Macaca mulatta: one gene and its partners. The protein of the gene in region 1 interacts with the protein of each later gene in a pairwise test. Links are inferred from orthologs where the notes say so. Each region holds a gene or a part of one and is shown in the gene's direction. Other genes may lie near its edges.

What was found. The genes of interacting proteins can lie anywhere in the genome.
Region 2: the proteins of CDCA7L (region 1) and ZGPAT interact in binary tests that used the Homo sapiens proteins (3 or more experiments, as listed by UniProt). The two-hybrid records come from large-scale screens. The link is inferred for Macaca mulatta from reciprocal best matches to the Homo sapiens genes CDCA7L and ZGPAT.
Region 3: the proteins of CDCA7L (region 1) and CTNNBL1 interact in binary tests that used the Homo sapiens proteins (3 or more experiments, as listed by UniProt). The link is inferred for Macaca mulatta from reciprocal best matches to the Homo sapiens genes CDCA7L and CTNNBL1.

What each region holds. Positions count from the first base shown.
Region 1 is NC_133408.1:106,352,582-106,357,945, forward strand, and holds the start of CDCA7L (cell division cycle-associated 7-like protein), read left to right. Parts: upstream 1-2,033; 5' UTR 2,034-2,157; coding exon 2,158-2,181; intron 2,182-5,364. UniProt on the Homo sapiens protein: Plays a role in transcriptional regulation as a repressor that inhibits monoamine oxidase A (MAOA) activity and gene expression by binding to the promoter.
Region 2 is NC_133415.1:116,592,092-116,595,809, forward strand, and holds part of ZGPAT (zinc finger CCCH-type with G patch domain-containing protein), read left to right. Parts: exon of another isoform or gene 1-286; intron 287-2,149; coding exon 2,150-2,283; intron 2,284-2,495; exon of another isoform or gene 2,496-2,518; coding exon 2,519-2,671; exon of another isoform or gene 2,672-3,594; coding exon 3,595-3,714; exon of another isoform or gene 3,715-3,718. UniProt on the Homo sapiens protein: Transcription repressor that specifically binds the 5'-GGAG[GA]A[GA]A-3' consensus sequence. Represses transcription by recruiting the chromatin multiprotein complex NuRD to target promoters.
Region 3 is NC_133415.1:90,637,080-90,641,938, forward strand, and holds part of CTNNBL1 (beta-catenin-like protein 1), read left to right. Parts: intron 1-3,706; coding exon 3,707-3,779; intron 3,780-4,017; coding exon 4,018-4,076; intron 4,077-4,859. UniProt on the Homo sapiens protein: Component of the PRP19-CDC5L complex that forms an integral part of the spliceosome and is required for activating pre-mRNA splicing.

The sequences.
Region 1 (5,364 bases):
GCTTTGCTAAGCCCAGGAAGAAAATTTCCGGGTTGTCATCTGGACTTAGGGCTGGTTATAGCAAATTTCTGAAGAGAAAGGCTCAACAGCTTATAGGTTTCCTGATACAGAAGTAGCTAGGCTACGCTGCTTCAAGTGCTTTGCAAAATCTGACCTGCTTCAAATTTGTGCTCCCTTTTCCAAAATGGATTTGATTTAACCTACAACGAAAAGGTGTGCAAATAAGATCAGCAGTTCCTGAGGAAGCAATTATCTTAAAAAAAACCCCAAAAAACAAAAAACAAAAAAAGCCCCCACAAAACAAGGAAGAAGAGCTCTGATTGAATTAATTTTCACTGTAAGCTTCCTGGCAGCCAAAGGGAAAAACTACAAGAAAGGGAAAGAATGTTGGATCTGGAGGAATAAGGAATGGTTTTCAGTTTGGCAGTCTGCTGCTGTCACTTAGTGGCAGGGTGGCAGGGATCTCTTAAATGTATTTTCTTAGATTCTGTTTCCTTATTTTAAAAATGTGGACAATAAGAATCTGGAAGGATATTGAGAGGATTCAAAGAGATACTGCATGTGAAGGAAAACTCTAAAGCATAATAAAAATGAAGTAGCTACAATGAATAATTAACATCCAATAAAAATAAAACATTTTAAGTTAGACAATGTTGTATTGGTCTTACTACTACCAGGAAGTAAGAACACTGAGGGCTGGAACATGAGAGCACATAACACATGTTGTTTGCTGAACTAACCAAAGGAAATAAACCTTTTCCATGTTTTCTCTTAAAGCTTGAGTAAATGTTTAGCAAATTTCATTCACTCACTCAATAAAGATGAACGTCAGATCCTAAGCAGTTGAGAGGGGCTGCAGAAGGTCCTATGCATACAGGATGCTCTATTGTAAACCCATGACCACGGTTCTAAATAGGCGTTCGACACTGTCCAGCAAACCTGCTGTGATTTCAGGACAACTTCATTTACCATTCTCCCCACTCTCTACTTCAAGTCTCGCACAATTTCCACAAACTTAATTCCTCACTCTTCATACCTGAGCTCTAAGAAGTATTCCCTTACCTCTCCCAGATTGTCTCCCTATTTTACACCACCATAATACCACTTGCCTTTTTTCTCATGGCATCATCGCTCCAAATTGACATTTATTTGCATCATCATTACATTTGTCATTGCTAGTGGTATCAAATTAATATTAATTATAAATCTAATTTATAAAATTTACATCATTGTTATCATTACGCTTATTTGCATCATTGTTGTATTTATTTAGAATAATGCAATTAGGTTGGTAACTGGCTCTCAGGCTGTAAACTCCAACAGAGCAGGGGCCTGTTTTTGTTCACCCTTCTGTTCCTAGGACTAACCCAGTGCCTGATGCTTAGTAGGTGCCGGGGTCAATTCTGCTAAATTAATCAGCATTCCTGACCTCTACAAACTCTGTTTGGTGGGTGTGGAGGCCTACTGTGTAATGGCCGTTTAAAGTTTCAGGCGGATTTGCAGTGTCCACCGGGGCCCTAGTAAAGAAACCTGGGTTGCCCGTTTTGCAAAGTGAACCCTGTAGCAAATGTTTTGGGAGACGGAATCCTCCCAAAGAGAACGCTGCCCCTTTACAACAACAAAACAAAACAAGCCCCAAAACCGCCCTACAATATTTTCCTGGATCAGAGACAGGGGTTGCAGCAGAAGCTCGAGCCCTAGGGCATGACCTGGAATAAACCCTGCCAAGTATCCTGCGCGCGTGCCAGCTGGAGGCTGCGCCGGGACAGCCCCCTCATTTCTCCCGCGCTAAACCCCGCCGGACGGCTCCACTCCCTCCCTCCCCTACAGGGGGGAACCCGGCGCCCTAACACTGGTAACTGCTCATGCCACCCCCAACTGCAGCCCCCTCTCGCGCCGCCTGCGAAGACAAGGTCAGTGGCCGCGAAGTTGGGACGGTGGTCGGAGCCACGAGGCCCAGTGAGGCGGCACCGAGCGGGCAGCGCGACGCGCTCCCCCTGTCCCGAGCGCCGAGTGCGCCCCTCCCGGGGCCCGCCTGTGCTCCGGGCGCTGCGCGCTGGCTGCTCGGGTGCGGGGCGTTCTTGGTGCGCCGGACCGTGGCGAGTCCGGGCTCCCGTGGCCGCGTGCTGGGAGGAGACTGGCGCCCCGTCAGGAAGCATGGAGTTGGCGACTCGCTACCAGGTGAGGGTCTGGCCGTCCGCCGCCGTCCGGAAGCACCGACAGTTTGACTTCCCTTTGCGACTCGGTCCTGCTGGCCTTGGGCTGGAAACGTGGCCCTTGGCTGCTCTGCTGGGAATCTGGCGCGCCCAGCCGAGTGAGTGCCGGAGTGGGCGCGCCCTGCAGGTGTGCGCGGTGGGTCACGTTTGTGCCACGCGGACCACAGAGCCCGGTCGCCCCAGCACAGAACTGCGCTCAGCCTGGCGCTCTGCTCAGTCTCGGGTGGCTGCCAGGGGTGCAGGCGGGGAGCTAGCGGGGCGCAGCGCTTGCGTTTGCAGCCCTCCTGAGACGGGGGAGGGGCTTTTTTGTGCACTCCCAACACTTTCTCCGGGAATTGGCACAGAGATCAGGAAGCTTAAGAAAGTTGTATTATTTTTTTTAATAGTCGATCGCCAGACCAGTCCAACTTGGATAATGGAGTTTAAAAAGAGTAACTTTAGTGTTTATTCTAGAACTTTTGTAAACGTTCTCAAGGAATTAGTAACCATTTGGGGGAAATGGTAACGTCATTGGGCCAAGTTAAACAAGCTGCAAGATCCCAAATCATATGCACAGCACGACCCCAATTACGCGTTAAGGGCCTAACTATCCTTTAAAACTCATTAGCAAACAGTTGAGTAAGTTCCTCCAAACGTTTCAGTGAGTGGTGGGAATGTGAACGTGACTTCAGTTTTCTCTTTTTACCTCTTAAAAGAGCTTTACTCTACGTTATCGTAATGGAGATAAATGTTTACTTAGAAGTAAGCAATAAAAACATTTTTCAAAAGAACTAAAAATGCAACCTTTAAAAAGGGAAACAAGCAGCCACGCCTCTGCTTGTGAGTACAGAGATGCTTTGTGCGAGGATTTTTTTTTTTTTTCCACTTGTTTTTGTGAGAGTCGCTAGACTCACTGCTTCCACTTTGCCTCCGACTGGTGTTTACTTTCCTCCACCTGCGTGCCTGGCCGGGGAGAAGGGGAGGCGGGGCCGCCAGCATTGGAAGGCGCTGAGTGCCAGGTGCCCGAGCCCAAGCCGCTGTCACCTGCCCGAGTCTGGCGGCAAAGACCGAGCCACTAACGGTAGCTTTGGCCTTTTAGTAGTTTCTGAAGCCTTCCTGAAAATGGTCGTTTGAGAAAAATCTGTTGTTGATGTTTCTGAGAATATTTTTAAAATGCCTCCTGTGAGAGAAACTCTGAAAAGCAAGGGAAACAAACAGTAAAGCCTAGGGAATGAGACAGGGTTCGATTTTTTATTTTTTATTTTTTGCCACTAGCTTTTACCGTGCTAATTTTAATACCGTAAAACATTTAATTACTGTGCTAATTTTAATACCGTAAAAAATTTAATTACTGTGCTAATTTTAATACCGTAAAAAATTAGCATCCAATTTTTTTTTATTTTTTTGAGACGGAGTTTCGCTTTTGTCCAGGGTGGAGTGTAATGGCGCTCACTGCAACCTCCGCCTCCCAGGTTCAAGCAGTTTTCCTGCCTCAGCCACCCGAGTAGCTGAGATTACAGGCGCCCGCCACCGCGCCCAATTATTTTTATATATATATATATATATATTTTTTTTAAGTAGAGACAGGGTTTCACAATGTTGTCCAGGCTGGTCTTGAACTGCTGACCTTAGGTGGTCCACCCGCCTCGGCCTCCCAAAGTGCTGGGATTACAGGCGTGAGCCACCACTCCCGGCCAGTGTCCTAACCTTCTAGGAGTTTCTGCTGCTACAGGACTCAAAACAAAACAAAACAAAAAACAAACCCTCTGGATGGAGATTTGAGCTCCTTGTGAGTTTAATCAGGAAATGTATCTGCAATTTATCCTGAGCTCCTTGTGAATGTAATCAGAAAATGTTTCTGGAATGTATCACTCCTGTTGTTAGGCTGGAGAGTCCTTTGTACTTCCACCACTGATATTCATAATTCATGCTTAGGAAACTCAGAAGTCCCAGAATGTATAGTTGGAAGTGAACGTTTACTGCCATATAATGAGGCTAATTTTTGGTAGTTCTAAAATGTTAAATAAACTATTTATCATGTAGGGGTTACCCACAAATTATATCCGATCCATTATGCACCAATTAAGGCAAATTACTATATGTAAGATGATCAGGGGTTTTTTGGTTTTTTTTTTTCCTTTTCTAAAGACCTAATTGGCAGTGCAAATCAAGATGTGTGATGATTTTTCCAGTGGAAATGTTCCTGTTCATCGTAATTTAAATGTGCACAGATTATTGTCTCTAAATTAGTGGAGAGTGGTTCTATCGGGTGGGCAGGTGACTGCAGATAAGAGCACTTAATGAACATTTCAGGCACAGCAAGATGTTAAATTCGTGTGGTTCCACCCTGTCTCCCAGCCTTATGAATAAAGCAACGTAATGAACTGCCTGAAGTGGCATTGCTGCACATCGAATGTCATTCAGCTCAGTGTGCAGTGAGTTTTAGTCTCACACATTGGAGTAAGTATAATTTCTATGGCTTGGAAAGCACAGAGCTAAGTGTTTCAGCAAAGCAGCTTAGGCCTAATGTTATGAGTAACAAGCAAACAAGGAGACTCATTTACTCTGAACTCCTTTCGAGTCTGCTTTCCTGCCATCCCACCAGTGTGTTGGATTTGATGTCCTCTGACAGTGATTATGCTTTCCACAGGCTGTAGTCTTGTGCTGACCACTGTGTCTTTGTGCTTTTATATAAAATGACAGAAATACCTCGTAAAGGCAAGGGTGTGATCTCTTACTAAGAGCTGTCAACAGTGCAGCTCCCTAGGAGAGAAACTGGTAGGCACTGAATGTCAGTGTTCTCCTCGTACTGTCTTCTAGCTCCAGAGTACAGGATGGCCCATTTGAGAAGGAAATGATGCTAAATGTTCTTGTAAATAGGCAGGAACATACTGTTGAAGGGGTAAAGGGGAATTTTTCTGGTATTGGTCTCTCAGCTACAAAATACTCCCATCTGATCCTGTTGTTTAACATGTAATCACGGAGCCCCAGAAGCTGGTCACAGAAAGGACAATGATTTGCTACTTTAATAGTCCTGTATTTAAAAGGCTCCTTAGTTGGTCTGTCTCTGTTCTGCTGGCCACCCCATCCATAGCAGAGCAGGATTCTCAAAAATCAGGAGAAAACCTCAGAGATCATAACGATTCTGATCAGGTACACAGGCCAGGAA
Region 2 (3,718 bases), on another chromosome or scaffold:
TTCTCTCTCTCTGTGTCTTGGTTTTGGTTTTAATTTTACTGGTTCACTGATATCTGAAAGTCAAGGCACCGCTATTTCATAAGCAGGTTCTCCTAGTGTGGGGGAGGACTCAGTCATAGGAGCACATGCACACCCCCAACACCTCTGCCTTGATGAACTGGCGCTGTGGCTTCCTGTGCAGTAGTGAGACTGTGGGAGCTGCTGTCAAAAGGGGCTGCCACACTGGGACTCCAGCAGAGGCGATGGGACACACGGGGTATATTCTTCTGGAACAGCCAAGTCCATCCTGAGAGAGAAAATGCGGGTGTCTGTGTGTGTGATGTGAGACTGCGTGTGCATGTGCATACGTGTGTAAAGTATACAGTAGGCCCTTGGTGTGTGTGTGAGACTGTGTGTGTGCATGTGCATATGTGTGTACAGTGTACAGTTGGCCCTTGGGGTGTGTGTGAGACTGTGTATGTGTGCATGTGCATACGTGTGTAAAGTGTACAGTAGGCCCTTGTGTGTGTGTGAGACTCTGTGTACATGTGCATACGTGTGTAAAGTGTACAGTTGGCCCTTGGGGTGAGACTGTGTATGTGTGCATGTGCGTACATGTGTAACGTGTACAGTAGGCCCGTGTGTGTGAGAGACTGTGTGTGCATGTGCATACGTGTGTAAAGTGTACAGTGGGCCCGTGTGTGTGTGTGAGACTGCGTGTGCATGTGCATACGTGTGTAAAGTGTACAGTAGGCCCTTGTGTGAGTGTGTGTGAGACTGTGTGTACATGTGCGTACATGTGTAAAGTGTACAGTAGGCCCGTGTGAGTGTGAGAGACTGTGTGCATGTGCATACGTGTGTAAAGTGTACAGTTGACCCTTGGTATGTGTGTGTGTGTGACTGTGTGTGTGTGTATGTGTGCATGTGCATACATGTGTAAAGTGTACAGTAGGCCCTTTGTGTGTGAGAGAGACTGTATGTGTGCATGTGCATACGTGTGTAAAGTGTACAGTTGGCCCTTGGTATCCGCGGGTTCCATAACCATCAATTCAACCAATCTCCAGTCGAAAATAATTGGGGAAGAAAAGGATGGCTGCGTCTGTACACTGTATAACAACTATTTACATGGCGTTTACATTGTATCAGGTACTGCAAGTACTCTAGGGATGATTTAAAGTATATGGGAGGATGTGCATAGGTTGTATGCAAATATTGTGTCATTGTATCTAAGGGACTTGAGCATCCTCGGGTTTTAGTGTCCACAGGGGGTTTCCTACAGATACCAAGAGACTACTGTATGTGTGTGTGCAAGTGTGAGTGTGTATGCATGTATGTGCATATGTGCATGTCATGTGTGTGTACGTATGTGCATATGTGCATGTCGTGTGTGCATGTGTGCTTGTATGCATATGTGCATGTTGTGTGTGTGCATGTGTGTGTATATGCGTGTATGGGTGTATATGTTAGTACATGTGACAGTGCGTGTGTGCGCATGTGTGTGGGTGACTGCATGTGTGGGTGAGGGCACGTTTGTGCGCGTGTGTGTGCATGTGTGTGCTCGTGTGGGTGAGTGCATGTGCACACGTGTGTGAGAGAGCGTGTGTGTGCGCGCATGTGTGTGGGTGAGAGTGCATGTGCACGTGTGTGAGCAGGCGTGTGTGTGCGCGCATGTGCGTGGGTGAGAGGGTGCTTGTGTATATCCATGTATGACTGCATATGTATTTGCATGAGTGTGTGTGTGAGTGCATGTTTATAAATGTGTGAGGGTCTGTGTGTATGTGTATGACTACATGTTTATGTGTTATATGCATGTGTGTATGTGTGTACATGTGTATGTGCATGCGTATATGTGTATGTGTGTGCATGCGTGTATGCATGTGTGAGTGTATGTGTATGTGTGTATATGCATGTGTATGTGTGTACGTGTGTATATGCATGTGTGCGCCTGTGTATGTACGTGTATGCATGTGTTAGTGCGTGTGCATGTGTGTACGAGTATGTGTACATGTGTGTATGTGCATGTATGTGTATATGTGTGCGTGTGTGTGTGTATACATGCATGTGTCTGGCTCCCTCAGGATGGTGCCCAGGTGGATGGGTCAGTGCTCCTGGGTTTATTTGCCCCTGGTGGCCCATGTCTGAGCCCTGCCCCCTATGGCTCTGTCTGCAGGTTCTCCCATGGGCAGGTGGTCCCTCTGGATGAGCTGCGCCCCTTCCAGGACCCAGACCTGAGCTCCCTGCAGGCCGGCTCTGCGTGTCTGGCCAAGCACCAGGATGGCCTCTGGCATGCGGCGCGCATCACCGGTGAGGCTGGCCGTGGAGGCCTTCCGGGAACACCCTCCCAGGCTCCACACGTGTTATTACTGCGTGGCTGCTCCCTGCCTCCTTTGGGATGAGTGTTGGGACTCTGGCTCTGGGCCCGAAATGAGCACATCTACCCTCAGCCTCTGCCCTGCCTTGCTCCTGATGTCCAGGGTGGTTCCCCATCAGTGGCAGCTGCTGTCAAGGATGCTGACCTGCAGCTTGTCTCTGCCTCTAGATGTGGACAATGGCTACTACACAGTCAAGTTTGACTCGCTGCTGCTGAGGGAGGCCGTGGTGGAGGGGGACGGCATCCTGCCCCCACTGCGCACAGAGGCCACAGAGTCCGACTCAGACAGCGATGGCACAGGTGACTCCAGCTATGCCAGAGGTATGGCAGCAGCTGTGGAACCCAGGAGCCAGGAAGGTGGGGTCACCCTGAGAGGCTCCTGGCTTTTGAGGGCACCGACCGTCTAACCAAACTATTGGAGAGAGTGGCCACAGCGAGGGCGCCAGCCGTGCCTGGGGAGGCCGTGTGGGGCAGGGGTACAGGAGTGCGAGTGAAGGGCCGGGGTAGATCCGTGGTGGCCTTTGTCTTCAAGGAGCGTGGGTACAACAACTACAGTCTCACTGATGGGAGGCCATGGTCATGGCTGTGGCCATGGGAGAGGAGGCGCCCGGAGTTGCCAAGGAAGTCACAGAAAATGAACAACCGATGAGGCCTGGAGTGCAAGAGGGGCAGCTCCTCTGCATGGCTTCTCAAACTTGGGACCTGGGTGCCTGGTGGATCCTGGCAGACAGAGGTGGTGTCCAGACAGCCAGGGTGGAAGCTTCGGGAATGGGAACTAGTGGCCGGTGGCCAGCTCTCCAGAGGGGTGTGTGTATACGTGTGTGTGTATATGCGGGAGGTCACCTGACCCAAGCATGGTGGGCTGAGTCCAGGAGGGGTCTGCATGTTGGAGGTGTACCCAGGGATCAGTGATGGTGGTTTCTGAAGCCCCAAGTCCCTGGTGAAGGAGGACCAAACCAAGGACTCTGTGAGGGCAGGTGAGGAGCTCATGGCCTTGCGAAGGTGGAGAAGGGCAAGGGCAGGAGAGGGCTGTGGAGGAGGGGTCACGGTGCAGGAGGCCGTGGGGACTGCCATGCACTCTGCCTGGTGTCACATGCCCACAGCAGCCTCAGTGACAGAGCACGGAGCCCCAGAGGTGGGGTGTTGGGGCTCTGCCCAGGATCTGAGCTCATTGGTCAGAGCCCAGGTCACCATGCATAGTCCTCTGCCCTGGCCGGCCACTGCCCTCTGTCCTTCTCTTGCAGTGGTGGGGTCGGACACTGTGGACTCCGGGACCTGCAGCTCTGCCTTTGCCGGCTGGGAGGTGCACACGCGAGGCATAGGCTCCAGACTCCTCACCAAGATGGGCTACGAGTTTGGCAAGGGTGA
Region 3 (4,859 bases), on another chromosome or scaffold:
CAGGAAAGATTACTTTCCTTTCTTCCCACCTGGCCTAATTTCTTCTATTTCTTTTCTACCAGATTAAAACATCTGGTCATCATCATCATCATCATCATCACTAAGTTTTCACCATCTGATATGAGTTTCATGTATTGACTGCTCACTACATGCTAAAGTGTTTTTCTAGAACCTTCTTTCCTTCCTTTCTTTTTCTTCTTTTCCTTTCTTTCTGTCCCTCTCTTTCTTTCTTTTTTTTTTTTTTTTTTTAAGGCAGCGTCTCACACTGTTGGCCAGGCTGGAGTGCATTGGTACCATCACTGCTCACTGCAGCCTCAACCTACCAGGCCCAAGTGATTTTCCAACCTCAGCCTCCCAAGTAGCTGGAATTTCAGGTACACACCACCACACCTGGCTAATATTTGTATTTTTTTTAGAGATGGGGTCTCACTATGTTGCCCAGGCTGGTCTTGAACTCCTGGGCTCAAGTGATCCTCCCACCTCAGCTTCCCAGAGTGCTGGGATTACAGGTGTGAGCCACTGGGCCTGGCCACATACATTATTTCTAATCCTCACAACCCTGCCAAGAGGGTGCAGTTATCCCCAGTTTACAGGTAAAGAAAGAATCCCAGAGAGAGGAAATGGTGTTGCTCAAACCACATGGGAACCACGTGGGAGAGCCTGTGAGCATTGGGCCTTGGCATCTCTGAAGCCACCTCCTCTCGCCAAGCTGCTTCCCAGCGGGTACTGCTTTTAGGTTCTGAAGCATTGCAGAGCTCAGCGTTGGGGAGTTATCAGGCCTCATCATTTTGGTTTCCTGATTAGATTCTTCCTTCATGTCAATTTGTCAGTCAGAACTTACGTTTTAATTAAAAAATGATGAAGTTATCAGTCTGGTTTTTAAAAACTTACTTTGGGTAGATTGGAAACTCTTAGTAGTGTCTTACAGCAGAAGGTGGAGATTTTCTGCGGAACCAGGAATTCTCAATAGCAAGAAACTCAGCTGGTCGGTGCCTGTTACGTATACACCAGTTCCCTTAGTACAGCCACTTCATGAGGAAGATATTAATTTGGCCAGTCACATAGCTGGTAACTGTTAGAGCTGAGATTCTAATGCAGATATTTCTGGTTATGGTTGTCAGAAAAACTTGTGGTACCTACTGTGTGTTAGGTACTTTCATATTATGTTTTTAAATTCTCATAGTAACTCTCCAAATAAGTGTTTTTTTTTTTTTCTATTCTTTCTATTTCTTCTTTCTTTTTTTCATGTCAGTGCCCTTAATTTAAAAAGTGCTATTTTTTATTTTCATTTTACAGATGAGGAAACTGAGACCAAGAACGTTCCTTGGGTCATGGATTCCTATTGTCAATTTACGGTGTTTTTTAGTGTCTCAGTAATTTTGTTTTTACAGCACCGCTATGCCAAAAAGTACCTAATAGTCTCATTTATTAAGTAGTTATGTCCAAACCATTTAATATGTATTTATGCCCTTACAATTTGTTAGCCATTTGAGAAGATAGTACACACGAATTGAAAGAAAAAATATTTTTATTTCATTTTTAAATACCATAGTTACTTCCTAATGGTATGTGTGCCTTTTGATACTGCTCAAATCCTCCAACCTTAGGATCCGATTGAACACCACCGCCGTCATTCTGATTTCACATCCATTTTCACAGTTATTTTTGTCAGAGCAGCTATCCAAACACAGCTCCACAAAGATAGGATGTCACCAGAAGAAATGTACCTTGAGATGCTAGTTAATGCAGTGCCCAACAGATGTCACATTTCCCTGTGTTCTCCATGAAATTTTTAAATATCCTGTGGTGAATTCAGTGTGGCACCCCAGTTGCCACAGCACATAGTTGGAGAACAGCAGACTTGTTCACATAGGCAGTGGCGTGCTCGTGAGTCAGCCTTAGGTGTGTCTAATGCCAGATCCGTGTGTTTTTTTTTTCTTTTTTGAAATTTGACATTTCTACAGAATTAATTTTAATTCAGTGTAAGGTTTTTAAATGCCACAACAGTGGACAGGGTTCAGATCTAAGTCACACCTGTTTGTTCTCTTGCTTAATTCTGTGTCTTCCCTATAGCAGGTGCCTAATAAGTATTTATTGAAAGGAAGAAAAACTGCCTCCAACTTGAAAATAGGAGCTTACAAAATTGAATAAAGGACAAGAGGCATTAGATCCACAGAAAGGCCGTGGCTCTAATGACCTACTGTCTTGTGACTTCTTTCAGTTAAGTATCTTGTTTTAAACAAGAACCATGGCCCTTGCAAAGCTAACGTTTAAGTTGGTGCGGCTTAAATCTTTCAAAATATAATAGCAATACTTGGAACTTATATAGTTTGAGTGGGAAATTTTATTCGCGAATCCTTGATTTTGATAGGGATGCTTACTCCTTGGCTTTTCACCTTCATGTTTTGATTTTCGTTAATATGAAACCATTTTTCTTAAAGTGAAACATACCACAGATTGCATTAAGCCCTGACTATTATGCTGAATTTCTTGAAACAAGGCTTCAAGCTTGCCCCGGGAGCATACCTTACATTTAGCACATGTAAGACCTTGCATTTATAGATCTTTTAACCTAAGATGGTCATACTTGGTCGACCTCCTGAAACTCTGTAGGCTGCACTTAGCTTGATGAGGGAGACGTGCACAGAAAACTGAAATGATGCTGAATATTGCTTGATTAGGTGCAACTCTTCCTCTTTAAGTACAAAACCAGTGTCTAAACAGATCTGTGAATGGTGGTAAGGTGACGGAAGTGTTAGTTCCAAAATAAATACTTCCCTTGTCTTTTCCAAGTACAGAAATTCTTTGTCATTTCAAAAACACAGATAGGTAGCAAAGGTTGCTGCTGATTAATAGTCATTGTTTACATGCCTGCATTTTAAGGATCATGGACACCATAAATAAAAACACATCACTGAGACTCGCTCCTCTCTGTGCACCTTCATCCAAGGGGCAGTGATAATGGTGAGATATTTAAGTCTCACTACCGAAGCAACAGTGAGGACAGCCATGAAAAATAGTCTGTGCAGTAGATGTGTCCCCTCTGAAACTCCCAAGTAGCAGACCATGCAGCAGGGAAAGAATTGTGGGTAGTAATTTGGGTGTTAAAATATTAACACATTTTTGCATATTTAATGTGGTTTCCTTTTTAAATAATAGGCAGATTATGGCATGCAAGCAGATAGGTTTATGATTTCAAATTAAATTTTAAGCATTAAAAAAATCCAGAAGGAACTACTTTGTGATAAATATATTCAGTTAATCAAGAATTGCTTTCTTTTCAACTTCTCTGCTCATATATTAACTAATTTATAGCCTAATTTCATGATTGTAGCTTGTGCATTAAGCTTCATGGTGAGTTTTAGTCTTAAAAGTTCAAAACTCTCATTCTTCTAGTTCACATTTGAGTACTATGGGCTAGACATATATAATCTCTGGACTCAAAATGGGAAATCTTGGAAGTCTTTACCGAGGAGGTAACCTTAATACCTGGGCATTAAGAGTGTGAGAACCATTGTTTCAGTCTGTCACTTTACTTGGTTCTGGTCTCTTGAGAGCAGAGGCCGACGTTTTTCCCCTTAACTGCCTTTTCCCTTTCTAACTTCTCCTTCTCTCTAACTCAGATCGTAGTACTCATGAAAAATTTGTCCTGGGGAAGGAAGCAAGACCTCTTAACATTTTTCTCATTTCTCCTATTTCCCCATAGGCAAAGATGCCTTTCGATGCCAACAAACTGTATTGCAGTGAAGTGCTGGCCATACTGCTCCAGGACAATGATGGTGAGGCGCCCTCTCAGTATTGATATTCTGTTAGGATAGGAGCCAGGCTTGTTTCAGATCATGACAGCAAGCTCTCTTGCCTTTGGCATCCCTTTGCTCTCCCTCTCGCTCCCTGTGCTGCTTTTGTACTCTGTCAAGCTGTATTGATTTTGTTTGCTGATGTATCAGTGTTAGACGGCTGTAAAATCTGACAGTTAGGTTCATTTTTTTTTCTTCCTCTATTTTTTCCCCCTTTTAGAAAACAGGGAATTGCTTGGGGAGCTGGATGGAATCGATGTGCTTCTTCAGCAGTTATCTGTGAGTAATTCTTATGCTTCCTGTCTGCTCTAAGATACATGGCTGGCTTTGAATGGGAGGTGGAGCTGGAAATTGTGGGAAGGAATGAGCCATGTGCTGCAAGCCATATGGAGTATGTTGGCAGGTTTGAGGGTTTTATGGAGGTACATGGTTTGCCTCCTTTTCTTAGTCATTTGCTCTTTATGACCAGACATCACTGTGTGTCAGATATGAATTTTCTTCGTCTTCTGATATGATATTGTCAACTCAAAAAAGATGTGCCTCCTGCTTAAGTGTGTATGTTCTGGGCCAGGCATACCAAATTATTTTCATTTGACCCACTCCCAAGATTGTTCACCAACCTTCCTTTCAGTCTGCTGTGAAAATGGAGTATGTTCATTTAGGATCTGAATAAGATCAAGGAGTCCAAGTTCCACTGCAGTGGGGTGGGGGTCAAGGGGAGGATAGGGGAGGATGTGGTGCTGAAGGCTGGAGTGAGAACTTGGAAACTGCCATTTTCTCACTGTAAGAAATGTAAATCCAGTTGAAATGTTATTCTGCTGGCATTCTGAAAATACTGTTAAGATTTCCTCTTACAAGTTTCATCTGTGTTATTCTAAAAACAGGACTGAAAATAGATCATTTGGATAAAATCTTGAGAGTGTTGGGAGAGTCTGAGATGTCAGTTTGCATACAGCTTCCATCTTGGTGCCAGCAGCCTAAGTGGCTTGGCCTCCACCCCAAAAATAGAGCTTTGAAATGTGAATCTGTTTCCAGTTCTGGGAAGGTGCTTAGTCCTTTTCC